2 linked regions of the Astyanax mexicanus genome follow. The protein of the gene in region 2 purifies or fractionates together with the protein of the main gene of each other region. This does not show direct contact. Links are inferred from orthologs where the notes say so. Each region holds a gene or a part of one and is shown on either strand. Other genes may lie near its edges. The genes, in order: otud5a and slc7a11.

Region 1 (15,824 bases), on a different chromosome or scaffold from region 2:
TATCTTCAATTGGCCCAAATGCTTTCTCTGGCTTAGGGAATCTCCTTAGGCTTCATCTGAACTCCAACAAACTAGTGGCTATCGACAGTCAATGGTTTGAGTCTCTGCCAAACCTCGAAATCCTCATGATAGGCGAGAACCCTATACTCGGATTGCAAGACAAGAATTTCCACCCGCTTTCTAAACTGCACAGTCTGGTGCTAGCTGGCATGCGCCTCAGGGAAATACCTGCCGGAGCTTTTCAAGGACTGGAATACCTGGAGAGTCTCTCATTTTTTGACAATAAGCTGACAGCCGTGCCCAAAGATGCACTCCACTCCCTACCGAACCTGAAGTTCCTCGACCTAAACAAGAACCCTATTGTTCGTGTGCAGGAAGGGGACTTTCAGGACTTCCTACACCTGGAGGAGCTCAGCATGAATAACATGGAGCAGCTGGTGGCTTTGGAGAAAGGCGCGTTTGTCAACCTCCCGCAGATGGCCAAGTTAGAGGTCTACAACAACCCTCACCTCTCTTACATCGATCGAGGTGCTTTCCGCGACATGGTTGGCTTGCGCACTTTGCTGGCCCACAACAATGACCTCACCCTCCTTCCTCACGAGGTCTTCACCTCTTTCCCCAACCTGGACGAGGTCAGCCTCCACAGCAACCCACTCAGGTGCGATTGCCTCTCAAACTGGGGGCCAGTCTTTGGAAACCAGTCAAGTCTCAAACTCTTGGAATCCCAGCTCACTATGTGCGCTTCTCCTCCACATGTTATTGGACACTCCCTTCAGGAAGTGGTGTCAACTAACTGGAACATGGCCAGTAACACCTGCTTGCCACTTATATCTCTGCACACCTTTCCACCTCAACTTAACGTCACGGCTGGACAGCCCTTGACGTTGGATTGCTGGGCTGTGGCTGATCCTGTTCCGCAGTTCTACTGGGTGACTCCCACGGGTGATAAAGTTACTTCAGAAACAGTGTCCCCAGTGATGAATGAGGGAAGTGTTGGCACAAGAAAGCACAGGATGCAGGATCAAGGTGCTTTGGAGATTCTCCATGTTGAGCCAGAGGATGCTGGACTCTATACTTGTGTAGCGTGGAATGCAGAAGGTGCAGACACTCGTAGTGTCTCGGTGTACGTAGACAAGGGCAACTGGCGTGATGGTCAACGGAGGGGTGGCCTGAAATGGGGGTTGAACACCACAGGGGCTTTGGTTGTCTTGGCGAAAATCATCCATGCACAGTCTGTAGTACTGGAATGGAAAGTGTACCCATCTGTCCCTGCTTCCGGGCGTGAGCTGCCTCAACCCAAGTGGCTCAGTGCCACTATCAAAATCGACAACCCTCAGATCAGCTACACTGCGAAAGTCCCGGTAGACGTCCAAGAGTACAACCTCACCCACCTTCTGCCCTCAACGGAGTACCGGGTCTGCCTGACCATGTCGTCTACAGAACATCAAACCCAGCACTCCTGCATCAACGTGACCACCAAAGAAGCCAGCTTTGCTGTGGAGATGGTCGCCCAACCCAGCAACGTAGCGTTGGCGGCGGTCATGGGCTCCATGTTCGCCATCTGTATCATGGCCCTGCTGGTGTTCTACATGGGGCGAAGGATAAAGCAGAAGTCCTGCCACCACTCGTTGAAGAAGTACATGCAGCACGCCACCTCCATCCCCCTCAACGAGCTGTACCCTCCACTCATCAACTTGTGGGAGAACGAGACAGAGAAAGAGAAGGAAGGTCCCGTCGACCCCCAGAACTCACAGATAGACACCTCAAAGACGTACATGTGGTAGTCGTGCCCAGCACGTCGTCAGAGTAGGATGAGAAAAAAGAGACTTCACTTGAGAGTGTGTATGGTGCTGTACATAGATGAGTATGTAATTACTTACTAAGATGTCATTGTGAAAGATGTATTTTTAGATTGTATAACCCTCCCCGGCCGACAAAAGAGCACTACTACCACACTCGGCTGCAGTTGTGGAAACGGTCGTGTACAGAGTAGAGGAATTTTACAAGTGCCCAGCTATGGAGTTTAAAAGCTGACATAAGTATTTGAATCTGCATTTTGTATGTTTGAAATAAACTTACCTGTTTTTTTGTTATATTAATCAGAAAGTCAGATTTTAACAAGGCTTTTTTGTTTCTTGAATTTAGAAGAGGATACAATTTTATAGCCTCATTATAACAGGGGTGGGAGAAAATATTGATATTGCAATATATTGTATCGATTTTGTTTAGTTTAGCCATATATTACCAAATGTGATGTTAGATATCGTCGCTTTCCAATGAAAAACAAGTATCTCCATTTTTGTCAACAAACCAACAGTCCCTTACATTGTGTCAACATTTCTTAATGAATGACCAATAGAATTTCTTCAAAATGACCTGAAATAAACTCTTTTACATTGACTTCCATTGAAAGATAAGAAGGTTTTATCTCTCTCCTGTAGATGTGCTGTTTTGGAGATACTTGTTTTTCATTGGACAGCGACAATATCAGTATTTTTATTGAAACTTAGGTATATGTCCCCCAATTGACTGAAGTTACTGCTTCATTACTCCACATGGTGGCGCTAATCAAATCAAATGAATGGGGTAAATCTATAGTGAAAATATTAGTTATCAAATTCTGTGAAACTGACACCAATAAATCCAAAAATAAATCCAATAAATTTTTGGTGTATTTTTGGTGTATTTAATCCTAGTCAATAAAACAGATGTTGTGAAGTATCATAGAAAATTCTGATACATCTATGCAATATATCGAGTACTGCAGAATCATATTATCATGATATTATCACTATTGTATGCAAAGTATTGTGATAATATTATCATATCATGAGATGTTCTGTGATTCCCACCCCTAATAAATAAAATCATTATAACATAACATTTTCAGATCCATAAATTCAAATGTATCACCTATGACCTGTATTTTTATTTTTATTGCAGAGTTTTGCATTAAATAGATTTTTTTAAATATGAAGCAGATTTATTTTTTAATATTTAAAAATCGTATTATTTTGTTACAAAAAATTTCAATTAAATATTTTATTTTATTTCATATAATTCAGTTATACAAAATGCAGATTGGAATACTCACGTCAGCTTTTCAGCTCCGTACCCAGCCGAACACACTCCTGCAATAACAGTACATCACTACGAGTTTTCGAGAGCATTTATAACATGAGGCATGCTACTACGTTAACTAATTATTTGTATAATTTATTCACCATATGAGCATTAATCCAACCGAGATCTTCAGATCTTCAGATCACACATTTGGATTTCTTGCATGGAGTTCTTGCATGCTGTTTTTCAGTGCTCACAAAGTATTTATTTATTTATTTATTTTCTTTCTCACGTCTAAAAATACACAGATGCGAGAAGGTGGTAAACACATGCACACTCACACACACACACACACACACACTCACTCACACTCGCACAATCCTGAAACAGGATTTTTTTTCTTCTTCTATATTCTATATTCTCTATTCTATTTCCACTGCATTTATTATCACCTGTATTGTAATAATAACAGCGACTTTTACCTGCCGGCTGTTGTCACCTGCGACTAATTAGCCGTCAAGCAGAATGAATATTTGCTACAGCGGCCAGGCAGCTGTGTTTACTTGGCCTTTGCACTTTTGGATATCTGTTGATTTTGAATTTTCTGAATGTATATTATTCCTCCTTATTGATTAATCACTTTGTTCTTTTCACTTATATGTTTATTATATGATATGATTTAAATGAGATTCCATATAGAGGCCTAATACACTGACATTTCCAAAAGTCAGACGACAGCAATATGGATACTTATCAAGATCTCACACCCACACCTGTGTACAATGTGAGGTGTTATCTTGTGAGTAAAGGCCAATTTATACTTCTAATCTAACCCACAGTGAACAACAGTGCAGTGGGTGGTTATGATCGTGAACGGCAGCATCTGGGTACAATTGTCCATGTGAACAGATGAACAGAAAATTCAGACCTGCTGGAGACCCTACAGGTTTATCCAGCAGGTCTGCGCAGCATCCTTCAGCTTCGATTGGACATGGCAAAAGTCATGGGACACAAGACTATCCTATTCCTATTGAATGTTTCCTGACATTTGGCATGTCAGTGTATATACAGCTCTGGAAAAAATTAAGAGATCACTTCAGTTTCTGATTCAGTTTCTCTGATTTTGCTATTTATAGCTTTATGTTTGAGTAAAATTTAAATTAACATTATTGTTTTATTCTATAAGCTACTGACAACATTTCTCCCAAATTCTTAAATATAAAAATATTGTCATTTAGAGCATTTATTTACAGAAAATGAGATATGTCCGAAATAACAAAAAAGATCATGCAAATAATGCGAGTTCAGAAATCAATATTTGGTGGAATGACTCTGAACAGTTTTCAGGCATCTTGGCATCATGTTCTCCTCCTCCACCAGTCTTACACACTGCTTTTGGATAACTTTATGCTGCTTTACTCCTGGTAAAGGTGTGTTTATTGATTGAAATCCACAAACACTTTAGTTTGGACAGAATGCCGGGCTTTTCCACTGTCCGGTTATTATTTATGTTCTGCGCTGTGTATTATCGTTCCACAGTATGTTCAGCACCTCGTTACATGGTTGACAATTTCATTACTGAGAGACCGTTTCAGTTCTCTGCTGATTATATTATATTATATTGCCACATTCAATATTCATTCTCCTTTAAAAGGCATGATGGCCGTGATAGGTTGGGGAACAGGATTGCGTCAAGGTACCATCAATGAAATCAGTGTTTAATTTTCCATTACAGAGCGTAATTTGATTAGCCTCTGCAGCAAATAATAAACAAACACCTCCGGCTGCAGATGGCCAGCCCAAGGAAATACACAGAAATATAAACAGATCAGCCACATCATTAACACCACTGACGGGTAAAGAGGAAAACACTTTACTTTTATCTTCATCTACTGTGGCGTCTGTTAAAGGGTGTAGTTAACACATTAGGCAGCAACTAAACAGTCTGTTCTTGAATTGAATATGTGTTGAAAAGAGGAGTGTAAAAATCGAAGGTTATGTTAATTTGATCCATATCTGACATTTTTTCTGAACAGGTTGCTCTGTGTAAATGAGATGCATGCGCACAACAGCTATGCTTCACATGAAGTTTCAGTTTCATCCTCGCTAAAATGAAAGAAATATTGAGCTAGTTTCATAGTTTCTTTCTTAATTTCCTATTAATATTTCTTGATAAAAGAGAGACTACTTCAGTTTCTGAATCAGTTTCTCTGATTTTGTTATTTATAGGTTTATGTTTGAGTAAAATTAACAATGTTGTTTTATTCTACAAACTACAGACAACATTTCTCCCAAATTCCAAATAAGATAAAAATATTGTCATTTAGAGCATTTATTTTTCAGAAAATGAGAAATGGCTGAAATAACAAAAAAGAGTTTTCAGAACTCAAATAATGCAAAGAAAACAAGTTCATATTTATAAAGTTTTAAGAGTTCAGAAATCAATATTTGGTGATATAACCCTGTTTTTTAATCATAGTTTTTATCATGAATCTTGGAATGTTCCCCTCCACCAGTCTTACACACTGCTTTTGGATAACTTTATGCCGCCACTCCTGGTGCAAAAATTCAAGCAGTTCAGTTTGGTTTTATGACTTTTGATCATCTTCCTCTTGATTATATTCCAGGTTTTTAAATTTGGTAAAGTCAAAGAAACATTTTTAAGTGGTCAAATTGTTTTCCAGAGCTGGATGGATCAGATATTAAAGTGAATGAAGTGTGTTTTTTTGCGCATTAAAATATATCTGGAATCTAACTTAACATATTCATTTTTAATGCAAATTAATCAAGAATTATATTTAGGGGAAACACACCATCTCTACTGTCAGTTACTCAATCTACTGTCTGAGTGAGTTTATACAGTACAGAAGATCGGTCCCATGAGTCGTGTACAACCCAGACGAGGACCATATTGAACCCTTCCTGTTCCCTATCACTATCACTGGCCACCATGAAGCCTATAGTTCACATATTGGACAAAAGGTTCTGCTTTCCAGCTGAAAAGTATGGGTATAATTTAATATGTACTACTACTAATAATAATACCACACTAAACATTATTCAGTGTTCATTATATTAAAAGCATAGCATAGCAAACACTAATCATAGCACTAATCCTCATATAAAAATAATAAGTAAATGATAATGATAACCAAAAGTAATCAGCTCAGATCTGCAGGGATGCTCTCTCTCTCTCTCTTTGTCTCTATTGTCTATTGAATTTGTCATTGTTATTGTTTGAACCAAAGATGAAACGACAAATATTCAAAGGACCTGTCACGGTCAGATACGCAGAGGACATCTGTATAATGCATTATTAAACCTGAGTTGATCAAGCTGAAGTTGATGAAGTAAATCTTTGTTTTTGATGTAGTTTATACGTTTATTTATTCATGAATTTATTCTAAATGATATTTGTAAATGCATAAGTTAACATTGCTGCACACAGTGCTGGATTATCCTCACATCCATTCGAATCGTACCATGTTTTATTCTTCAGCCGCTCGTAATAAAAACACTTAACAGTTTTGATAGCTGTTTATAATCACGTATTAAATGTGGTGTCCACTCCTATAGAATGCAATATTACAGCACTGATGATAATAATTACAGCACTGTCTGCTCACCGCTCACGGTTTGTGTTACCCGCTGCTGGATGCTGGTTGCTGGGGCTCTGAGCACTGGGTTATTCTGAACAATGCCTGGAGTTTATTGCTACACACGTGCCCTCTGGTGGTGGAAGAGCTTGATGGCATATATTTGCTTTATCTGTGTGAATAGCAGGGTATTTTGTAATAGGAGGACAGACTGTTGTTTATATTTCGAGGTACTGTAGGTCAGTACTGCTTTAGGCGTGTTGGTCTGTGCTCAGTAGAAGACAATTGACTGTATGCAGAAACATCGGAAAGAAATAAACACAAATATCACAAATATCTGCTTTTGTGTGATTTTCTTATTGAAATATGCTGTTTTTTATCATATGTGTTGATGTATGTTACAAAGAAAGAAGTGAAAATGGTAATATATATATATATATAACATTTCTCATTTTTTAATAGATTTTTTATAGATTATTATAGATTTTTATCAGTCAGTAAGTCTGTAGTTAGTGGATACTTTTGCACCCCTTACAATAGAAAAGTTCATTTAAGTATATTTTTTAAAAGTATTTTAAAAGTTTTTTTTTATTTTATTTCAACAATAAAATTAATACGTACTTAAACAGATACTAAATGTACAATTATGGAACAACGTATGGCAACTTTTATAATTTTAAGCTTAAATATTTAAATACAACATAAAAGCATTACATTGTGCTTTTGAGTGCTTTTTCATATTATGTGTTATTAAACATATTTTTTATTACACTTGAAATATAAATGTACTAAATGTAAATGCACTTTAAGCAGTATTTAATGCCAAGAGATATATTTTCCATCAGCATGTTTAATTTAAAGCACATTGCTTAAAAATACAATTCATGGAAATACAGACTTTTATGAAACTATTCATGAAAATGTACTTTTAATGTTTATACTTTTGAGTATACTCCCTTTTAAAAGGGATATTTCAAGTCTTTTCTAAGAAAAATAGAACTACTTTAAAAAATACATATTAGATGTTAGTAATTCTAAAAGTTTTAGTTAGATATCAACATTTCTCCTCTTCTGTAAATTAAGTTCTACAGGTACAGCCAATAACTGAAAATGATCTAAAATCCAGTGTGCAAAAAATGCAGTAAACTTAAAAAAAAAAAAAAAAAAACTAACTAACTGAAATTAGGGAAAAAAAAAAAAAAAAAAAAAATATATATATATATATATATATATATATATATATATATATATATATATATATATAACTATAATAATAACCATAATAATAACTAGAAAAGAAAATGATACAGAAACACAGAGAACTCTATCAAAACTATCAAAAGTTAAAGTCTTTTCTTTAGAGAAATTACAGATGAAGCCAGAGAGTGGTGAGTCCTGTTTTCTACACCTTCAAAAGACTCTTGGAAACTGAAGAAAAAACTGCTACAGGAGGACGTCTGGCTGACCCACATGGAAATATTGGACTAAGTCTCAGTTTCAGCAGTGAAGAGAAAATTTAGAGGTCTGACAGGTGAAGTGCAGAAATAAAGTCATTGTTTTTTGGGTCAAAGAGGCACTGCTACTAAAAAAAATAGAGGTCTTCAAAACCTTTATTGTTTTTTTTTATTATTTCTTTTTAGCTATTTTATCTAAATAAGTCCCTCTAGCCCAACCCTGGTATAAGACATGAATGATGCCAGTGGTTACTGTTAGTCTGCTCGAGAGAGTCCTATTCTATTGGTAGTTCTTTTATACAGGGACTAAACAAACTGTTAAATGTTAAAATTTTAACATATTTGAGCTTTTTTTTTCAGAAAAAATATAAATGTTACAATTTAACTTTGGACAGTCCCATATATAATACTTACTAAATTTCTCAATATTTTGTGTGACCACCATGATTATCTAGCACTGCCTTAACCCTCTTGATGATATCACAAAGAAATTAATAAATACAAAGGAAGAAAGAAAAAAAGACAAATACAGCACAGAAAGAAGAAAAAAGAAAGGGAGAAAGGAAAAGATTGAAAGAAAAGAGAGAAATTAATACATAAAAAAGAAAAAAGGGAAAAAAGAAAAGGGAAATGACTAAAGAAAAAGAAAAAAATGCAGCATAGAAAAAAAGTGAAAAAGAATAGACTGAAAGAAAGAAAAATGATATAGCCTAGAAAGAAAGAAAAGGCAAATGAAAGAAAGAAAGAAAGAAAGAAGTGAAATAAAATTGAAAGAACAAAGAGAGATTAACTAACTAACAAAGAAAGCAAGAAAGAAAGAAAACAAAAAATAAAAATATGAAAATAAATAACAGATATCAATAAAGAAAAAATGAAAGAATGTAACCTAAAAAGATTAATATAACCTAGAAAGAAAGAAAGAAAGAAAGAAAAATATGTCATTGAAAGAAAGAAAAATGTTGCATAGAAGGAAAGAAAAAAGGGTGAATGAAAGAAAGAAAGTAAAGAAAGGAAGGAAGAAATATAGCCTGAACTGAAAAAAGAAAGAAAGAAAGAAGTGGTGAGAAATAAAAGAGTGAAATGAAAAATGAAAAAATGGCCTAGAAAGACAGACACAAAGAAAGCATAAGAAAGAAATAAGAATATAGCCTAAAATAAAAAAGTAAATAAAGTAAAAATCATAGAGAGAAAGAAAGAGAGAAAGAAGGAGAGAAAGAAAGAAGGAAAGAGGAGCGGGGCTGCGGGTAGTTTGATGGGAGCCCGTGGCCGGGGGGTTTGGGGGGGATTGGAGGGGGGGGGGTGTTGGATCTGTCGATCTGTATGAGGGGAGGAAGTGACGCGACCGTGTCGTCAGCGCTGTGTTGATGTTGTTGGACGCTGAGCGGAGGGGAAGCTCCAGCAGTGGCGGCTCGGCGGCGGCGGAGACTTGGGCTGTTTTTGTTCTCTCCGCGGCGCTTTTTACCCACAAAAACGACGCCTTACCTTACCCGAAACCTCCAGGGAGGAGCCCTCGGTCCAGAGAAGACGGCCAGGCTGAAGCACGGGCGGCGCAGAGCTCTCCCCGAGCCGGAGGACTCGTCACCCCTGACACCCCTCCTCCTCTTCCCGCTCCCCCCTCCCTGCCCTCCGCGCACACACAGCCAACATGACGATCCTGCCCAAGAAGAAGCCGAGCTCCACGGTCGGGGTCCAGGACCACGCCGACGAGAGCGACAGGCGAGCCGGCTCCGACCCTCACCAGCACGGCCACGGCGTTGTGCGGACCGGGGCGAGGCCTAGAGCTTCACCGCCGCCGTGGTCATATCAAGCCGCGCCGCCTCAGTCCAGGGAGGACAGGCGGAATGAATCGAGCTCGCGGCCGCAGCAGGCCTCCCCTCCGCCGGTGGGAGCTGGATCCCCCGCCGGCCCGGGGGACGGAGGCGGTCTGGGCGGGATTAGCTGCGTGTCCGGCGGTCGCGGGGAGCTAGCGGGCGGCGTGGTGGGCTGTGGGGGCACTATCGGCAGCTGCTGCTCTGGGCCGGGTCTCAGCAAGCGGCGGCGGCAGGCGACCTGCTCTGGGGGAGTCGCGGGCGGGGGGACACCCGGTGTGTCCGGGGGTGGTGGTGTGGGTCCAGGCCCAGATCAGGAGGAGGGTGCCGGGTACAACAGTGAAGATGAGTACGAGAATGCTTCCAGACTCCAGTCAGAAGATCCAGCAACAGTTGAGCAGGTAAATATGCAGCGTTTGTGTATGTAAACATTAGCTAGATAGCTAGTTGGCTATCACCAAAATAAGCTAAGCTAAGGCAGCTGCAGCTGACGGTTATTTTGGCAGCTGACGGTTATTTTGGCAGTCGACTAATCTGACGATTATTTTTTTCGATTAGTCGATTAGTCAGCGACTAAATTTGCCCCCTGTTTAAAAGATTTGAATTTTGAGCATCACTTTCAAGTGGAACTTGGTTTCTCACAGCCAAACTATCAAAATACAGGTGTTTATAGTGAGATGATCATTCATTTTACAAGGATATTGTACTGCAGGGTATTGTACTATTTTTTTTCCGATTCGTCGATTAATCGGCGACTATTTCTGACATCCCCTCCATCACTGCCTCCTGTGGGCAGGGCTCCTGTTTCAACTCGTCTTTTAAATCACTTGCTGAAATCTGCACACCTGTGATTCTTACCCTGTTCTAGCAAACTAATAAATTAATATATGCAGATAAAACTCAAATATCAACCAATCAACCATTATTTTGACTCGGAGGTGCATTAAGGACAACCCTCATTTTCAGTGTAGCTGAGCATTTACAAATACAAGGACTGACATGACGAAGAAAATAACTACGTTTAGTCATATTAAAAAACAGAAACTAAAAGATAAAAATAGATGAAAAAAGAATAAAATAAATAGCATAAACAGAAAGAAACAAAGCCTAGAAAGACAGAAAGAAGAGTATACCCTGGAATTAAAGAAAGGGTGAAAGAAAGAGAAAAATATAGCATAAACAGAAAGAAACATGCAGCCAAGACAGAAAGAAAAAATAAAAAAAAACAATAATACCTACTTTAATTAAGAAATTAAGATTAAAAATGAGATTAATACAAAAAGTTAAAATTAAGCTAAAACTAACTTTTACATAGTACAATAAAAATACAAATGAATAAAGTATTAAAAAATAAGTAATTTACATAAGTAGGACTGCACAATATATTGTATCAGTGGCATGATATAAAAGAGTTAAATAACAAAAAGAAGGAGAGAGAAAGAGTGACAAGATAAGAACAAGACAGAAAAGGGTAAAACAAATGGATTGACAGATATTCAACAAACAAAAATGAATAAAGAGTTCTAGAAAGAAAGACAGAGTGAGAGAGAGGGGGGGGGTGGGAAATGAATGGACAGAAGCGAGATTGATATAAAGAAAAAATGACAGCACATCTGTGTGCATCTAAATTCAGAGTAAAATAAATATCAGGCAGATGTAGTCTCAGATATAGTTTGCGATGCATTAGCGATAATCTTTAAGACTCACCCCTAATTTGTCTTACTAAATTTTTGTTACTAAATGCTTCGTTACACCACATGGCGCTAAAACTATCACAAATCAATCCATAATTCCTGTTCTTGCTTATTTAGGAGTATTTTATTATCTTTAAAACAGATATGAAATATCGTAGAGATTTGTCTTGTAAATTACAGAATTGTAATGCCATTATTATTATTATTATTATTATTATTATTATTATTATTATGGGCAATGTATCATGATAATATCGTATCAGGAAATGCTCTTTAATTGTTCACATGTACACATTGCAATAACTATTCTGAAACAGATATATTGTGCAGCCCTGATTGAACACAGTTCTTTGGATCACCTGGTAAAGAATAACCTGATAAATGTAAAAGTGTTGAATTTTGAGCATTACCTTGAGGTGGAACCTTTAGATGGTTTCTAACAGATAAAGTATCAAAACACAGATGCTTATGATGTGTAAATGCAGACTGGAAATCCTAATTTAATGAAGACAGCAAGCATCAGCAGTGTTTTGTGGTTAATCATAGTAATAACAGAAATAAAATACTAATAATAAAGGCTTGGGAAAGCTGCTACTTGATGAACATTCATTTAAGTATATAAATATTGTTGACATTTATTTCTGTTTTTATTACTGTTAGGATATTGTACTGCAGTGATGATAAGGTATCAAACAACAAACATCTTCCCACTGCATCCGCAGTCTATATAAGCATAAAATGTTATGAGAGTTTGAGTGATTTTTTTTCTTTTATGACACGATATTAAAACTTTAAATAAAATAAACTAGCCGATATTACAGTAAACACTCTTAAACACTCTTCAACCCCACAGGTGAAGTTGCACTGTCATTAGGCCTGTCACGATAAGATTTTTTGGTAGACGATATATTGTCCCAGAAATTATTGCGATACACAATATTTTTGTCATTTGAGACAGATTTTGAAATAATGATAAAAGAATAGCATAAAAAATCAATTATACACTTTGTAAAGATGACAACATTTGAATAATTCATTTATTATAATTAGTTTGAGAAATATATACTTTATTTTTTCACCTACCTTAGTCCACACTTTGAGTATGGAGTCACAGTTATTGAAGCATGACTGGATAAAATACTGTTCACTGTTTTATATGTGAACAAACATACAAATAAACACAATACAACACAAAATACACATCTCGTCAGTCACACTGCACAGTCTGAATATATTCTGTCTAGACTTTAGAAGTTCGGCTGCTATTTTTACAGTTTCACTGAATCTTGAAGCCATAATCAAACAAAAATAAATATTTTAACAACAAAAAAAAATAATATCTAATCTATCTGCCATGAAAATCTAATTTCGTCAGTTTGGTTGCTATGTTAGTCCCCTGCTTTTTCCAGCTATGAGAAATGGTGCACCACATACATTTTCTCAACCCAGAGAAGACAAGAAAATGTTTCTCATCCCAGTCCTTAGAACTCATCTGACGGTTCCACGTTTCAGCTCTGTCCCAGGTCCCAACACACTAGGTTAGAGCGAAAATGCAGAACTGTCAGGTGGACCCAAAGGACTGGGTTGAGAAATGCTGATTTAAAATACACAAGGCCTTTTCTTCTGGGACTTCTCTGGGAAGATCATTTAGAGAAACTGGTACACTGAAACACAACAGTAGTGCTCGAGTATCTGAGGGCAGATTTTCCAGGGCAGTTAATTGCATATTTTCCTCTGCTGGGAATTTCTTTAGCTGTTAGAATCTTCATAAAGGAGATACTAGGGGCTTTAAATTAGTTTTTATTTTCAGCCTTTTTGCATTTTGTAACCTTTTTTTTTTAGTTAAAAAATGTCGACTCCAAATTTCAGTGAGTCAGTGAGTTAAAATAGTTCCATTGCTGCTCTGTTTATTGCTGCGCTGTTTGGCTTGTAAGCGCTGATTCGTTGCTAGGTTACCTGTATGTAGCAGCCTAATACATGAAGAGCTTCGGTTACAGTGCATTACCGGCTGATAACGGCACTCATAGAACGCCTCTCAGCCAATCACATTGCAGTGTAAGAACAAAATGTTGTATAAAGGGGTAATTGGAACACTCACACAGTTGCAACATGCAACTTGGTCTGTGTCTCCAAAAGTGCTCAAACATAACTCATTACATATTTACTCACTAAATATCAGAACAGTCCACATTTAAAAATCTGGGCTTTTAAAGGGCATTTACATCTCACGATCAGCTGTTTTTCATTTAAAACTGAAGAAATGTATGACAGAAACAACTTCTGACTAATCGAATAATCATCAGTTTAGTCAACAACAACAAAAAAGAAATTGGTTGCAACCCTACTGTAGATTAAACAATTAGATTTGTTTCTCTGTGTCTCTATGTAACTCACTATTGGAGGTATGTTGTGTCATGTCTTATCATACGCATAAAAACATCGCCAACATTTTTTGATATGGTAAATTATATATATTATGCTATATCTCCTCCCACCCCTATCACATTAGGGTTCTACTTTTTTTTGCTGTTTTTAGTAAAAGAAAATATTCTTAGTTAAAAGTTTCCCATTATATATCTACTAGAGACAGATTATATCTATAAAGTATAATTTATTTTACTTTAATCCTGCATATGTGAAGATATTTCTGTTACAAATCTAAATCTAGATAAAATTCTTGTTTTTTAATATCTCAGTTAGGGGTATGCCATATCATATCATATATGCAATAATAACATTTAATTTTCATATTGTTGCAGTTGTGTATTTAATTTTTTTAATAACAAAGGCTAAATGCTTTAATTTTCCATTATTTTTTTGCCTATATATTTTGTCTATTTAATGTAGAGTTGCAACAAATAATTGATTAAAATAAAAATATGTTAAAATAGTTGACATATCTAAACAATATCTGATCAGATATATTGAATGCGTTAAATAAATTATATTAACAAATATATTTACTTTTTAGCCGGTTAACAATTAATTAAGCAAAACAAATAATCATTAGTTTAATCATTTATAATCAAAATAATTGTTGGAAGCAGACCTATTTATTGTGATCAATAATAATAACAGTTCCACTTTGTGCTAAACTCACTGAGCAGTGTGCAGAAGTTGAGGCTTTTATTATGACATGGGTCTGCTGGACAGGAACTGCAGTATCTGTGTTCCTTATGAATGAAACTTCATAAGTATAAAATATAAGATTAAATATAAGAATTTAAAATGTTTTATTAGCTTTTTGAGTTAAATAAGTATAATGTTTTTTTTCACTACTTAAATGTTAGTAAACAGAACTGTGCAGAGAGTCTGTGAAATGCTGTTTAAAATAGTGAAGTTAGCATTAGCTTAGCTTCTGAACAATAATAAAACCAGCCCCTGCTTCCTGTTCTGTGTGGATTGGTCTATATTGTGTCCTGTGTAATTTATACACTTATCGTACACTAAATGGACATGACCTCAATAGTATATGATAATAGTGATATTGTTTATTATGTTTATTTGTGTGTTTGTTCACAAATATAACAGTGAACAATATTTTAGTCAGTCGTGCAATACCAGACCAATGTTTTAATAACTGTGACACGATACACACAGTGTGTACTGTACAGACTGCTGTAGATGGAAATATATATATATTAATATATATGATATATGATTAATTAAAAATGATGTTATTGGTTTTATAAGGATATGGATTGTATGTTATGCTGCCATTATATTATCGTTATATCAGTGGAATTTAATAGCCTTAAATTGACAATAATATTGTTTATTGCTATGATTTCACAAAAAAATGTTATTATGACAGGCCTAATATTTACATTATTGGCTTATTGTACAATATTTATATACAACCTCAACCATTTTTGCTGGCCTGATATTGCCTAATATATTTTTCATAGCAAGGAGAGTCTAGTATTATTAAGAAGACAATGTGCAATTTATTTAAAATCAGTGCTTTTATTCTGTATGTTAAAATAACAAATCAGTGGTTCTCAACTGGTCTAGGCTAGGACTCACTAAGTTGTGACCCAGACCCCCTTTTTAATGTTTACTGCTCTTTTAAATAATATTATTATATTATTTTGCTATCATATTGTTATAATATTAGTAAAAAAAAAAAATGAAAGACCAAAAAAAGATGATCCTTTATTTTAATTATTCCTGGAATAATATATTGTTCAGTAAACTAAAGTTCTTGTG
Region 2 (15,905 bases):
GGGCTAACTCTGGCTGGTTTACAGACGTCATTCTCTGTTGTATAATGAGCACTGTCCCTGCAAATATGAACAAATAAATTAAATTAAATGAAAAAAAAAAATAGTCAATGTTTTCTATGCAGATTATTCTGTACAGATGTCTTTATTCAGTGGTTCAAAATGGAGTGTCTGGATACTTTTGTACACAGTGTCTAAGTGTCTAAACACATTTATGAGTGGAGCCGAGTTGAATTGAATGTGTCGAGCTCAGTGCAGACACCCATCTGCGCCGTACCGTGGCCCTTCAGGTGTGGACGTTTAGGACCCGGTTGTAGAGACAGCTCGTTTTTTATTAGAAGAGATGCAGGTTTTGATATCTGAAGATGAATGCACAGAGATCTGTTGTTTCTTGGCACGGCAGGGAGTCTGGGACAAGCCCAGACTGGAAGAACAGAACCGTCTTCCCTTTTATTTCATTGTATTTCGTCAGGCAGACGGCCTTTGGAGAGGTCCTCTCTGTAAACGTACCCTCACCGGCTTCCGGGTCTTTGATCTCAGCCGGCTGGCACTGAGATCAGCCGAGGAAACGCATTTTAGATCCTTTAACCAGCAGAGCGGAGTGCTAGCTTAGCTACAAGCGGCTCTGCTTCCTCACTAAAGTGTTCCCAAAAGGAGTGGACAGACAGAACAGGACCCGGGCAAGAGAGGCAAAGTTCAGATAAATTCACATAAAAGAATGCATTAATATAATTCACGCTTTTTCTCTGCAAGTAATCGCAAATATTTCATAAACTACTTATATAATACATGTGCAATGGCTATGTAAATATTAAGAACAAATGTTCAGACAATATTAAATGGTTCAATCAATGGTTTCAAATATATCTCCCAAGAAGGGAGAGAATGCAGGGTCCAGGTACTTTCAGGGCCTCTCAAAAACCTAGCCTGTGTATTAGCACAGCTGTGATTATTTACAGTTCATTTAACTGTGTGGTTACAACCCAAAAAATATACACTCAACCATACACAGGGGTTGGACAATGAAACTGAAACAACTGGTTTTAGACCACAAAAAATTATTGTCCAGAAACAGGAGAGTTTTATGTTTTTTGGATACAATCCGGGTTAGCACCCGAACATCCCTTTTAGACAGGTTCCTCTTACAGCGTCCACAGTTAATCCTGTTGGATGTGGTTCGTCCTTCTTGGTGGTACACTGACATTACCCTGGATACTGTGGCTCTTAATACAGCACAAAGACTTGCAGTCTTGGTCACAGATGCGCCAGCAAGTCGTGCACCAACAATTTGTCCTCTTTTGAACTCTGGTATGTCACCCATAATGTTGTGTGCATTGCAATATTTTGAGCAGAACTGTGCTTTTACCCTGCTAATTGAACCTTCACACTCTGCTCTTACTGTTGCAATGTGCAATTAATGAAGATTGGCCACCAGGCTAGTCCAATTCAGCCATGAAATCTCCCACACTAAAATGACAGGTGTTTCAGTTTCATTGTCCAACCCCAGTAGTATATAAGGTACACAATAACATGTTCAAAGATTTTTTATATAGATGTATATTTCATATTTTAAAGAGACAGCACAAGTCGCACATTTCAAGTCGCAAATGAAACATTGCCCTAGTGAAAATAAAGTTGATTAAAGTATGCTAAGCATTATTATAGCTTAGTACACTAAAGTGTATTAATAGCCACATTATTAATCAGTATATTTAAAGAGTGCAAAAATATATATATATATATATATATATATATATATATATATATATATATTATACTATAATTCAATAAAAATAGTACAAAAGTCTCACTTAAATAGTGCTAAATGTACTTAGCTGTGCTAAAATGGAACTATTTTAAATATACTAAAGTAACATTTAAACACAATACTACTTAATGTATGTAACCCATATATTGTAAATAAGCTTACAGTAAAATTATAATACATTTAATGAGTATTACAAGTGTATCACTATTATACACCAGCTATAGTAGAAACTGTACTAAAAATTGATGCTAAATATATTTATATTAGAGTACAAATATGCTTCCTGTTTCTGTTGTAAGTAGCACACATTTAGTACTTCTAGTTGTTGGGTACTGTACTACAATTTGTATTATTTTTAAATGTAGTAATTTAATTTACTTTCCAAAAAGTTACATGATACATTGTACTTTAAGTGAACAAGTGTAACGATTGTTTTTAACACACTTTGCTAAAAATGAACAAAAGTATATTTTGAAATAAGCATTTTATAAGTATATTGAATTACATTAAACTAAAAGTGTACTTCCAACCCAGTATCACGCCCCTGTGTGAAATACACACGTTGGTCCACTAGGGGCAGCGTATCAGTGTCACGTTTTTGTGTGCCTGAAGCGTGAAATACACACGCTGCTCAAAGCCATATAAGCTGTACTTCATAGTATACATATATATTTTTTTTAAAACACTATATTGTACTTTTTAGAAATAAAAATTGATCAAATTTTACTTACACACATTAGATGCATAATATTATTGTACTTTTAATATATGTTTACTGTACATACATCTGTTAGTATATGTACAGCACACTTAGACATTTCTCAATATGTTTTAAGTACAATATATATTTTTTTATATTTATTAACCCAAATGTAAATACTGTATTCCATTATGTATTAGCAATGCTTAGTTTAATGCCCATTTAGACAAAATGTTTTTGGAATGTGTGATCTGAGACTTTCATTAGACCAAAACGCTTCCTTTTCTCCAGCTGTTTCTCACACACAGGAAGGTGATGTATGAAAAATCACCTCTGATGAGTGATCTTCTGGGAAGTGTTTCTCAATAATGGGAATGATGTCTAAACTCTGCATCAGTAATGTAAAAAAACAAGTATTGGCAATTCCCAAACCACTTCCAGCATGGTTACCAATCACCAAACCCAAAATTAAAAAAAAAAAAAAAACTGACTATATGATTTCTAGATGAATGACATTTTAAAAATTGACTAATTAAAGAACCAAGAAGAACCAAAAAGCAGGTCTAAACTTCTGGTATGTTGGTTCAGGGTCTCCCTGGGGTGGTAGCTGGTACTGTATCCATCATAGCTTTGGTATTGGTGCTGGTTTTGTGCTGAACTGATAACCTGGTCTAATTAAGCAGTGATCTGATGAAGGATGAGATAAGATGACCCTTATCTCCCTTAGTTTTTAGCCTGCAGCGAAGCCATGCGCAGGTGAGGCCTGCAACAATAAAAAACCTGACCATCAACAGCCTCAGCAAATTCCCTTCTGAAATGCTTATCTAACTGTGTGTGTGTGTATGTGTCTGTGTGTGTGTGTGTGTGTGTGTGTGTGTGTGTGTGTGTGTGTGTGTGTGTGTGTGTGTGTGTGTGTGTGCTGTTCGTGACTCAGAATAATAATGATTTTAGATACACCCACGCCCTCCAACTAAATAAAGTAGAGTTACTGTGCAGAAATACTGCTTTGTCACAGTGACAGTACACTATTGGTATGCTGGCTAACACTTAAGCACTTCCTGTTTGAAACAACAGTGTGTGTGTGTGTGCGTGCGTGTGTGTGTCTTGATAATATTAAAGCCTGCTGACAATTGTGTAAAAGTGCTATTTGTGTAAGGGTGTGAGTGTAGTAACTGTGTTGTTTTGTGTAGAGTGTAGAGTGTGCTGTTTGGTGTATAGTGTGGTGTTAATAAAGTGTGTTGTGTAGAGTGTGTGTTGTTTTGTGTAGAGTGTAGGTGTGGTGTTAATAAAGTGTGTTGTGTAGAGTGTGTGTTGTTTTGTGTAGAGTGTGAGCGTAGTAATAATATAGTGTGCTGTGTAGAGTGTGACTGTAGTGTTAATATATTTTTTGTGTAGAGTGTAGTGTTAATATAGTGTGCTGTGTAGAGTGTGACTGTAGTGTTAATATATGTTTTTTTGTGTAGAGTGTAGTGTTAATATAGTGTGCTGTGTAGAGTGTGTGTTGTTTTGTGTAGAGTGTGAGTGTAGTAATAATATACTATATTGTATAGAGTGTAAATGTAGTGTTAATATACTTATTTGTATAGAGTGTAAGTGTAGTGTTAATATAGTGTGTTGTGTAGCTGTGTGTTGTTTTGTGTAGAGTGTAAGTGTAGTGTTAATATAGTGTGTTGTATAGAGTGTGTGTTGTTTTGTGTAGAGTGTGAATGTAGTGATAATATACTTTTTTGTGTAGAGTGTAAGTGTAGTGTTAATATAGTGTGTTGTATAGAGTGTGTGTTGTTTTGTATAGAGTGTAGGTGTAGTGTTAATATAGTGTGTTGTATAGAGTGTGTGTTGTTTTGTGTAGAGTGTAAGTGTAGTGTTAATATAGTGTGTTGTATAGAGTGTGTGTTGTTTTGTGTAGAGTGTAAGTGTAGTGTTAATATAGTGTGTTGTATAGAGTGTGTGTTGTTTTGTGTAGAGTGTAAGTGTAGTGTTAATATAGTGTGCTGTGTAGCTGTGTGTTGTTTTGTGTAGAGTGTAAATGTAGTGTTAATATACTTATTTGTATAGAGTGTAAGTGTAGTGTTAATATAGTGTGTTGTGTAGCTGTGTGTTGTTTTGTATAGAGTGTAGGTGTAGTGTTAATATAGTGTGTTGTATAGAGTGTGTGTTGTTTTGTGTAGAGTGTGAATGTAGTGATAATATACTTTTTTGTGTAGAGTGTAAGTGTAGTGTTAATATAGTGTGTTGTATAGAGTGTGTGTTGTTTTGTATAGAGTGTAGGTGTAGTGTTAATATAGTGTGTTGTATAGAGTGTGTGTTGTTTTGTGTAGAGTGTAAGTGTAGTGTTAATATAGTGTGCTGTGTAGAGTGTGTGTTGTTTTGTGTAGAGTGTAAGTGTAGTGTTAATATAGTGTGCTGTGTAGAGTGTGTGTTGTTTTGTGTACAGTGTGAGTGTAGTAATAATATACTATATTGTATAGAGTGTAAATGTAGTGTTAATATACTTATTTGTATAGAGTGTAAGTGTAGTGTTAATATAGTGTGTTGTGTAACTGTGTGTTGTTTTGTGTATAGTATGAATGTAGTAATAATTCACTGTATTGTATAGAGTGTAAGTATAGTGGTAATATAGTGTGTTGTATAGAGTGTGTGTTGTTTTGTATAGAGTGTAGGTGTAGTGTTAATATAGTGTGTTGTGTAGCTGTGTGTTGTTTTGTGTATAGTATGAATGTAGTAATAATTTACTGTATTGTATAGAGTGTAAGTATAGTGGTAATATAGTGTGTTGTATAGAGTGTGTGTTGTTTTGTATAGAGTGTAGGTGTAGTGTTAATATAGTGTGTTGTATAGAGTGTGTGTTGTTTTGTGTAGAGTGTAAGTGTAGTGATAATATACTTTTTTGTGTAGAGTGTAATAGTGTTAATATAGTGTGCTGTGTAGAGTGTGACTGTAGTGTTAATATATGTTTTGTGTAGAGTGTAGTGTTAATATAGTGTGCTGTGTAGAGTGTGACTGTAGTGTTAATATATGTTTTGTGTAGAGTGTAGTGTTAATATAGTGTGCTGTGTAGAGTGTGACTGTAGTGTTAATATATTTTTTGTGTAGAGTGTAGTGTTAATATAGTGTGCTGTGTAGAGTGTGACTGTAGTGTTAATATATTTTTTGTGTAGAGTGTAGTGTTAATATAGTGTGCTGTGTAGAGTGTGACTGTAGTGTTAATATATTTTTTTGTGTAGAGTGTAGTGTTAATATAGTGTGCTGTGTAGAGTGTGACTGTAGTGTTAATATATTTTTTGTGTAGAGTGTAGTGTTAATATAGTGTGCTGTGTAGAGTGTGACTGTAGTGTTAATATATTTTTTGTGTAGAGTGTAGTGTTAATATAGTGTGCTGTGTAGAGTGTGACTGTAGTGTTAATATATTTTTTGTGTAGAGTGTAGTGTTAATATAGTGTGCTGTGTAGAGTGTGTGTTGTTTTGTGTAGAGTGTGAGTGTAGTAATAATATACTATATTGTATAGAGTGTAAATGTAGTGTTAATATACTTATTTGTATAGAGTGTAAGTGTAGTGTTAATATAGTGTGTTGTGTAGCTGTGTGTTGTTTTGTGTATAGTATGAATGTAGTAATAATTTACTGTATTGTATAGAGTGTAAGTATAGTGGTAATATAGTGTGTTGTATAGAGTGTGTGTTGTTTTGTATAGAGTGTAGGTGTAGTGTTAATATAGTGTGTTGCATAGAGTGTGTGTTGTTTTGTATAGAGTGTAGGTGTAGTGTTAATATAGTGTGTTGTATAGAGTCTGTGTTGTTTTGTGTAGAGTGTGAATGTAGTGATAATATACTTTTTTGTGTAGAGTGTAAGTGTAGTGTTAATATAGTGTGTTGTATAGAGTGTGTGTTGTTTTGTGTAGAGTGTAAGTGTAGTGTTAATATAGTGTGTTGTATAGAGTGTGTGTTGTTTTGTGTAGAGTGTAAGTGTAGTGTTAATATAGTGTGTTGTATAGAGTGTGTGTTGTTTTGTGTAGAGTGTAGGTGTAGTGTTAATATAGTGTGTTGTATAGAGTGTGTGTTGTTTTGTGTAGAGTGTAAATGTAGTGTTAATATAGTGTGTTGTATAGAGTGTGTGTTGTTTTGTGTAGAGTGTAAGTGTAGTGTTAATATAGTGTGTTGTATAGAGTGTGTGTTGTTTTGTGTAGAGTGTAAGTGTAGTGTTAATATAGTGTGTTGTATAGAGTGTGTGTTGTTTTGTGTAGAGTGTAAGTGTAGTGTTAATATAGTGTGTTGTATAGAGTGTGTGTTGTTTTGTGTAGAGTGTAGGTGTAGTGTTAATATAGTGTGTTGTATAGAGTGTAAGTGTAGTGTTAATATAGTGTGTTGTATAGAGTGTGTGTTGTTTTGTGTAGAGTGTGAGTGTAGTGTTAATATAGTGTGTTGTATAGAGTGTAAGTGTAGTGTTAATATAGTGTGTTGTATAGAGTGTGTGTTGTTTTGTGTAGAGTGTGAGTGTAGTAATAATATACTTTTTTGTATAGAGTGTAAATGTAGTGTTAATATACTGTATTTTATAGAGTGTAAGTTTTGTGTATGGTGTAAATGTAGTGTTAATAGACTGTTTTGTGTAGCTAAGTGTGTTGTGTATAGTGTAAGTGTAGTGTTAATATAGTGTGTTGTGTAGCTGTGTGTTGTTTTGTGTAGAGTGTGAGTGTAGTGATAATATAATGTATTGTATAGAGTGTAAGTGTGGTGTTAATAGACTGTGTTGTGTAGCTGTGTGTGTTGTGTATAGAGTGTAAATGTGGTGTTATTAGACTGTGTTGTGCAACTGTGTGTGTGTTGTGTAATTGTGTATGTAAAGGTGTTGTGTAAATTTGCTGTGTGGGTTTAGAGACGGTGAGACGGTGATGCAGTCTGCTCTTTGGGGGCGGGGCTAAGGCTGATGTAACTTTGCATCACTCACATCACCTATTTCCTCAATGCTGTTCCTCCGTCAGAGCTGTACCCACACACACACACACACACACACACACACACAGGCTGAAAGTCCTTCTGTGCACTTTTATCAGTTTGACCCAGAATTGCAGATTGTGAAGGACTGTTTGTAAGAGCAGTTGGATCAGGACCGTGTCTGGTTTAGAGTCGAGGTTCTCTGTAGTTCAGAGAGAAACAAAAGAATTCACCCTCGGGCTAAACCTCACCGACTTACTAATCACAGCACATGAATGAGAGAGAGAGAGAGAGAGAGAGAGAGAGAGAGAGAGAGAGAGAGAGAGAGAGAAAGACAGAGAGAGAGAGATAATGAATGAGAACAGAAAGTTAGAGGGAAAGAAAATTAAAGAGAGAGAAAGAGTGAGGCTGAGAAAAGTCAAAAAGAGAGGGGGGATAAAAACAAAACAAGTAGAACAGAGATAGAGAGATGAAAAGAAAAATGAGTAGTAATGAGAGTGAAGTAGATAAGAGAAGCACAATACAATACTCGCTACAGTTCAGTACAGTGTGTGTAGTGTAGTATTAGCAGAGCATGAGCAGAGTTTAGTAAAGTTTGTTGTATAGAATATTTCTAGAGTCTGAGTATTGTTTATAATATTAATAAGGTTTGTTTTGTAGCTCATTACCAGAGTAGAAAAAGAGTATTCATAGATTTTTAGTGGGATGTTATTGGAGTATTATTTATAATGTTAGTAAAATGTGTTGTGTAGAGTATTTGTGGAGTATGACTAGAGTATTGGTATAATTATTAGGATGTTAGTGGATTATTGTTTATAATATTAATAAAGTATTATTGCAGTATTAGTAGAGTGTTAGTAGGATGTTAGTGGAGTATTGTTTATGATATTAGTAAAGTATTATTGGAGTATTAGTAGAGTGTTAGTGGGACGTAAGTGGAGTATTGTTTAGGATATTAGTAAAGTAGTATTTAAGTATTAGTAGAGTGTTAGTGGGATGTAAGTGGAGTATTGTTTATAATATTAATAAAGTATTATTGGAGTATTAGTAGAGTATTATTGGAGTATTAGTAGACTGTTAGTGGGATGTAAGTGAAGTATTGTTTAGGATATTAGTAAAGTAGTATTGAAGTATTAGTAGAGTGTTTGTGGGATGTTAGTAGAGTATTGTTTATAACATTAGAAAAATATTATTGGAGTATTAGTAGAGTGTTTGTGGGATGTTAGTAGAGTATTGTTTATAACATTAGAAAAATATTATTGGAGTATTAGTAGAGTTTTAGTGGGATGTTAGTGGAGTATTGTTAATAATATTAGTAACGTGTGTGTAGAATATTAGTAGAGTATCAGTCGAGTAGTAGTAGAGTTTTAGTGGCATTTTATGACATAAGTAAAGTATTATTGGAGTATTAGTAGAGTTTTGAACAGGTGAACTCTGCTGTTGCATCATGACTCAGATCTGACCGTCTGCACTTCACACTTCTTCCCACACACACACACACACACACACACACATTCACATTCACACACAGAGCGCTGATGAAAGGGCAGAGCAGAGAAGGGGAGGAACAAAACAGTAAAAAGAGAAAAAGAGGTGTGTGTGTGTGTGAGTCTGAGTGTGTATGTGAGTGTGTGTTTGAGTGTGTGTGAAAGAAAGAGAGAGAGAGAGGTTGGCTTAGAGCTGTTCAATATTCAGGAGTGAATGAGTTTGGGCGGCCCTCAGCCAATCAGAAAGTTGTGCCGGGTCTGTGGGAACACCTAGTTCCTGTCAGGTTTTTTCCCTCCTTAGAGAGAGAGACGCTCAGTGACACGCGGCTTTACGGCCTTCACTCTCAGACTATAAAAGAGTGTGTGTCAGTGTGTCAGTGTGAGTGTGTGGTGTGAGTGTGTGTCAGCGTGAGAGTGTGAGTGTGTGTGTGAGTGTATAAGAGATAGTTTGGTAAAAATGAGCAGGAGAACAGCTCAGAATGGCCATACTAAAACAGATGGGGGTGTCCAGGCTGCATGTGGCCCCCCAGGTAAAGTGGCCCTGAAGAAAAAGGTCACCCTGCTAAGAGGAATCTCCATCATCATCGGCACCATCATTGGAGCGGGAATTTTCATCTCTCCGAAGGGCATCCTGAAAAATTCCGGAAGCGTGGGAATGTCCCTGGTGGTGTGGGTGGCCTGTGGGGTCCTGTCTTTATTCGGTGAGTGGGAAAAAAAACACACACTCACAGTCATATAATAGATATTCAATATACAGCATATTCTGTACCACTTTAAAATAAGACTACCTTTATAAAGGGTTTATAAATGGTTTACAACTAGTTTTTAATGGTTTCTAATCAGGTTGTAAATGCCTTTAAAAATCATTAATAATCAGTTATAACACATACATAGAAAGGGCAACAATGACCTGTTGTTTGCCAAATAGTGATCCCACTGCCAACTATATTGTTGCCCTTTCTACGTATGTGTTATAACTGATTATTAAGGTAGTCTTGTTTTAAAGTGGTACCGCATATTCATACTTGTCATAGTTAGCATCCTTTCATCATCCTTTTCTCTTTAATGGTCAGAACTCCTCAGAACCACCAAAGAGCAGCTACCATTTGGGTAATAGCTCATTCTCAACACAGGCAGTGGCACAGCAGTGCTGCTGGAGTATTTAAACACCTTAGCACCAGTGCTAGACTGAGAGTAATCAATCAATATTGTCTTGTGGGTAGCATCCTGTAAAAAGTGTCCTCTGTCTCTGATGTTATCTACTTTATCTACAAGGTGGAGCTGCTATAGATAAAAGTGTCTAATACAGTGGAAGACAGTGAGTGAACATAGTGTTTAAAAACTCCAGCAGCACTGCTGTGTATCTGAACCAGCACTTGAACCCTGTGACCCATCCTTCAAACACAGCAATAGCTGTTCTGTGGTGGTCCTGTCTGTGGGGTCCTGATCATTGTAAAACTGGTACTATAACACTATATTTTGTAGTTATAGAGCTATTTAGAAAGTGTAGAGTAATCAGTGTAGGAAGTGGTTTTATGGGTATGTCATGTGTTGATTGTGGGGATCTGATTTCTGCCAGTTTGCCAGAAGCTGTAAGCTGTAAGCATGGACAATTCTAGCCAGACACCACCAGTTATGATCATTTTACGTACATATATACAGTATGTTCAATGTATTTTCAATATATATCCTCGCTGTCCAATGAAAAACACCTAAAAGAGAAAAAATCTTGTAAACTTTTAATGGAATCGATGTAAAAAGAGTTTATTTCAGGTCATTTTAAAGAGTTTCTATTGGTCCATTCATCAAGAAATTTTGACTGTTCAAATTATGTAGTAAACTAAAAATATACCATATGACAGTAATGGAGATAAGTGTTTTTCATTGGACAGTGCTGATATTCTGTACTCCTTATGGAATAAACATAGGAATTCAATAGTAACAAACAGAAACCCACTTTTTGCTGAGTCATGACTAATACTAAGGTACCAAGGTGTTATAACCAAGGTCTCATGTCACTTATTACCAAACACTCAGTCAGCGCTTGGCTACTACCTGCCAAACACGCTACACTCAAACCCCAACCTCACACAAGCTCCTCAGCGTGTAATTCAATCTATCATCTGTAATGAATGACAAGCAGCTGGCAGGTACAGAGCAGGATGCCGGCAGCTCCTGAAAAGCCGGACACGTGGTTTCTGTATGTGTGTGTGTGTGTGTGTGTGTGTCTCTATGTGTGTCTATTTGTGTGTGTGTGTGAACAAAACTGTCACTGCCGCTTCCGTAATGCGAGCTCGTGAGCCGAGCACAGTACATCGCGCCGCAGCGTTAGAGCAGCAGGTGCTGTAACTCAGGGCAGGAACCGCTTCTCCTCATTCGCTCCTGTGACTCAGGCCTCATTGTTTCCTGTGTTTATTTAATGCACCTCTGACACGAACAGGCCCACAGGCTGGGAAACAGTGAACGGGGGCTTGGCCTCCGTCCACCTCACTCTGCATTTCAACTAGAGAGAGGCAGCAGATCTGAAAAGATGTTTGTTTTGCTCCCTGTGGGAGTTTAACCGGTATTTACACTGATGAAGCGCAATCATTTGCATAGCCCAATCCTAATTTGACCAATTTCCAGGGTGTGACACAGTTCTGTGATCTGTGTGTTTAGTCCAAACATGGATTAAAATATGTTCTATGTGACAAAAAAAAAAAAAAAAGGTAACACTTTACTTGGATGGTCCATTTTCTGGCCTCAGCTCATATTAAACTGAATGTATATTAAATGTAACATTACTAAACATTACTACACTCATATAATACTCAATACTGCATGATACAGCAGTGTTTAAATTTGTGATTAAACCTTTGAACCCTAGGCTGTTTTGGTGTGTTTGTTTTTTTCTTCGTTTTTGTCAGTTCCTCTTTTTCAGGTCTTATAACACAGTAATTATATCAGACAGACACATGCCCTGATTTCTTTTACTCCAGAAGCCATACGGCTGCTCAAAAATATCATAATTTAAAATGTAAAAGGAAGCAGAATTGTTATATATTCCTGGAACTGGTCATGTTTTGGTCAAAATTTTACCAAGCTCCTCCAAGTTTTTTATTTTACTCATTTTTGAATGTATATACTTTAAATATATTCACACCTAAGATATCCTTTCAAAAATGATTAGACTATAGTGTAAATGAGAAGTATGAAAGTATAAGAATATTGATGATAGTTCATTACATGGTTTACATGGACTTCTTTTTCTTGATAATCACACCTCTAGGATACATGTAGATTACTAAACACCTGACACTCAGAGCAGCCTATGCCTTTTAGTATTTTGATCAGGACACACAAAAAAATTAAAATAATATGATAAATAAAATAAATAAAAATGTTTAGTGCAAAATAACTACTTAGTAAAAATGTGCAAGTAAAATAAAAACTATATAAAGTCGTGCCATATCTAGCTTTAGTTTGAGTGCAGGTAGTTTCACACTTTTTCTGTGGACATTTTGAGTCATTTTGAGTCATTTACTGATATTATTTGGTTCGAAACATCATATAAATATGTTTGAAGCAGTAAAGGTAAATAATATTGGTTGGATTGCTATTTTTAGAAAGAGTTCCACCCTTTCTAACATTATATGGATTATGTTTCTGTGTGAAGGAATTCCTGAGTAATTAAGCTGAGAACACAAGGTGAGATCCGTCCGTAGGGTTCTTAGGGTTACATTTCGTGCTCCAAGTAGTCCAGAGGACTAAGGTGCTGCCACTATGATCGGGAGATCGCTGGTTTGTTTCCCATTCATGTAGCTTGCCATCAGCTGCCTGAGCCCTGAGAGAGCACAATTGGCCTTGTTCTCTCTGGGTGGGTAGATGGCTCTCTCTCACCACATCATTCCAAAGGGTGATGTCGATCAGCACAAGGCATCTGTGAGCTGATGTATCAGAACTGAGTCGCTGCGCTTTCCTCCGAGCCGTCCTGTTGTTGAGGCATTGCTAATGATCGGGGGAGTCCTAATGAGTAAGTTGGTAATTCGTCTTGTAAATTGGGGAGAAAATGGGATACAATTTTTGGGGGGAATTCGTTTCTATGCTTGCATTTTCCCCTTTTTCATGGGGTGATGATGCATCTCTTTATGTGGTAAAATTGCCCCTATAGGCCAAGCATACTCAACTTGCTATTTCAATTTTGTTTCAGTTGTGTTCAAAAAATATTGAAAAGGAAAAAAGAGAAATCTCTGCTTTTAGAAGTAGGTGGGTAGGAATATGAATCTACTCTCCATGTATTTGTGTATTTTAAGTCAGGCTATATTTTTCATGTTAAAGTTCATAGCTCTGCTCATAGTCACGCTGTGCTTCTGGTATAAATAAATAAATGAGGCGTGGGTTGACAACAACCGCAACTCATGCAGTCGTACTTTAACAGCAGGTGCCATTGTTTGCTTTAGTTAGCTTTAATCACAGGTGGTGTTCACCTTTATTTCCATATCCATTCTGTTTGCTGTCAGTTACTCATGTTCTGTCCTCCCCCAAACAATGCCTGTCAGAGCGATTGCATTTTTTCCCAGGCTGACCTTATTCACCTTATTGTTTTGTCTATAGTCGGTCCTGCTATGAGTGCTGATTATTTAATAAAATAGAAAGAATAAGCAGCTATAATCACACTCTTAAGACATTAGGAACATGGTTATTCACACACTATATGTCCAAAAGTATTGGGACACCTGCTTATTCATTGTTTTTCTGAAATCGAGACTATAAATAAGAATTCTTCCTGACTCTGTTGTCCAGAGAAGACTTCCTATTATGTTTTTGTGCATTGCTGTAAGGATTTGATGGAGGCCAGGATGATCAATACCCCACCTCATCCCCAACTCCCCAACTCATCCCATCCAAAAGTATTGGACAGAGGTCCATCATTCCACTGCTCTACAGTTCAAAGCATGGAGCCACTAGCATGTGGACTAGTACAACACTAAGCACACATTCCTGGAGCAGTGGGCAGCAGGAGAGCAGTTTACTAAACCTGGGTATTAAACCCATATCTCTGACATCTTCCACCCAGTGCTCCAACTATGGAGCCACCACGTCCCCAGGCTCAGCATCAGTTGGGTTCAGTTAATTGGAATAAATCCATATTACTTCCAGCAGGAAAGACTGATACCCTAACATTTCCAATCATTTTTCAACTGTTTTGGTAGCAGCATATGCACGAACATTGTCCTGTTGAAATAGTACACTGGGGTGTGCATTCAGAAAAGGTAGGGCCACTGGTTGCAGGACCTCATTAATGTAACAGTGGGCTATCTAAGTGTCTGTAACAAAGATCAAAGGTGATCTGGCAGCAAAATCGCACCCCATGCCATGAGACCATTGTCTCCAATAAGACAAAAGCAAGATTTGGGCAGATTCCCATATTATACTCAGCAACTGGGGTGTTGACACCAGTATTTTAGGCTGTTTCCCATATTATACTCAGAAACCGGGGTGTAAGCATCAAGACAAAAGCAAGATTTGTCACTGAAGATGATTAGCTGACATCCCGGATCACTTCCTGACAGTCTGTCACAACTACCCACCAGGTTTCATTCCTCTCAGTTGATTCTTCCTGATTCCAACAACCGTAACTACATGTTTTAGGCTCCTGGAATGTGTTTTACAAGCAAAAATGTGCACAGTGTCTTTGCAAGTGACATTTTTGTCTGGGTCAGTTGGGTACAGTGTGTGTACTGTGTTCCTACAGTGGGTTACAATGTGTTACTGTGTTTTTTTGCTGTTGAATGGAGTTCTATGGGCTAATGGTTTTAATTAAATTGCTCCAAGCAATTAATATAAAACGATTAAAGGTTCTTAGAAGGCGTCCAGTGTAAGATCTAGATATCTAGAATGGCTTGAAGGTAACATAAGCTAAATTCACCTTTAAAAGACTCTATAATCTGTGATTGGAGGGTCTGTGCCCCAAGGCCAAACATGGAAGTGTGTGTGTGTGCATGATAGAGCTTTTGTGCATGTATGTGTATAAGTGTGTGTGTGATAGACAGAGAGAAGCAGAGAGATTTGTATTGTCTTGGTAGTTATTTTCTTAACAGAAGCAAGGCTGTGGCGGTTGATGGCTCTGTGTACGGGGCATGAATTCATTTGTGTGTCAGGGCAGTATTGTTTAAGTGTGTGTGTATTCATGTGTGTGTCAGAAGTCATTTCACACTTGTCAGCACTCTTTTGTGGGCCGCCGCCTGCATGCTTTGAAGAACAGAAGAATTTCGAGCCATAGTTTTCACTCTCGGCCCGATCTGCTACCACCATCCTTCAGAAACAACAGGGGACAGAGAGCTAAAAGACCCTAAAGGTGTTTTTAAACCTAGGTTCTTTGGTCCAGACTTTTAGTTTGGTCTGAACCAGAAGAAACCAAAGAACCAAAATTTGTTTTGACCAGAAGAGGCTTAGAGACGAGAAGAAATCGGCCCAAGCTTTGCTCAGGTATGGCAGCATCAGTTGAGTTTTGGCGTTGGCCATGCAGAACAGGGCCCAATGTGGTTTATACACAGCAATTGGAGTTACTCGGCCTGATTTCCATATTATACTCAGTAACTGAGGTTTTGGCAAATGCAACTTGGGCCAATTCCCATATTTTACTCAGCAATTGAGGTGTTGGCAAATGCAGCTTGGGCCAATTCCATATATTTTACTCAGCAATTGAGTTGTTAGTATATTCAGCCCGGGCCGATTTCCATATTATACTCAGCAATTGAAGTGTTGGTACATGCGGCTAGGGACAAATCCCATATTATATTCAGCAACTAAGGTGTTGGCACATGCAGCTTGGACCGATTCCCATATTATACTCAGCAACCAGGATGTTGGCACAAGTCAAGTACAATATTATACATAGCTACTGGGGTGTACAGATGTGACCTTAGCATTCTGATTAAAATCTGATCTAGATTCAAACTAGATTCGAACCCAAGGCAATTCAACACAGGCTCAGCATTGGCCATTCAGAGATTTTTGACATTTTGGATGGTCTTAGTCTC

The links.
Region 1: the proteins of slc7a11 (region 2) and otud5a purify together in Homo sapiens (affinity purification with western blotting; 3 studies listed by BioGRID, with this or other methods). This does not show direct contact. The link is inferred for Astyanax mexicanus from reciprocal best matches to the Homo sapiens genes SLC7A11 and OTUD5.

Annotation. Positions count from the first base shown.
Region 1 is NC_064419.1:3,681,566-3,697,389, reverse strand, and holds the start of otud5a (OTU domain-containing protein 5-A), read left to right. Parts: upstream 1-9,462; 5' UTR 9,463-9,758; coding exon 9,759-10,322; intron 10,323-15,824. Other genes in the region: si:ch211-180f4.1 (leucine-rich repeat neuronal protein 1), read left to right, coding at 1-1,784. UniProt on the Homo sapiens protein: Deubiquitinating enzyme that functions as a negative regulator of the innate immune system. Has peptidase activity towards 'Lys-48'- and 'Lys-63'-linked polyubiquitin chains. Can also cleave 'Lys-11'-linked ubiquitin chains (in vitro).
Region 2 is NC_064417.1:29,468,099-29,484,003, forward strand, and holds the start of slc7a11 (cystine/glutamate transporter), read left to right. Parts: upstream 1-9,199; 5' UTR 9,200-9,340; coding exon 9,341-9,584; intron 9,585-15,905. UniProt on the Homo sapiens protein: Heterodimer with SLC3A2, that functions as an antiporter by mediating the exchange of extracellular anionic L-cystine and intracellular L-glutamate across the cellular plasma membrane.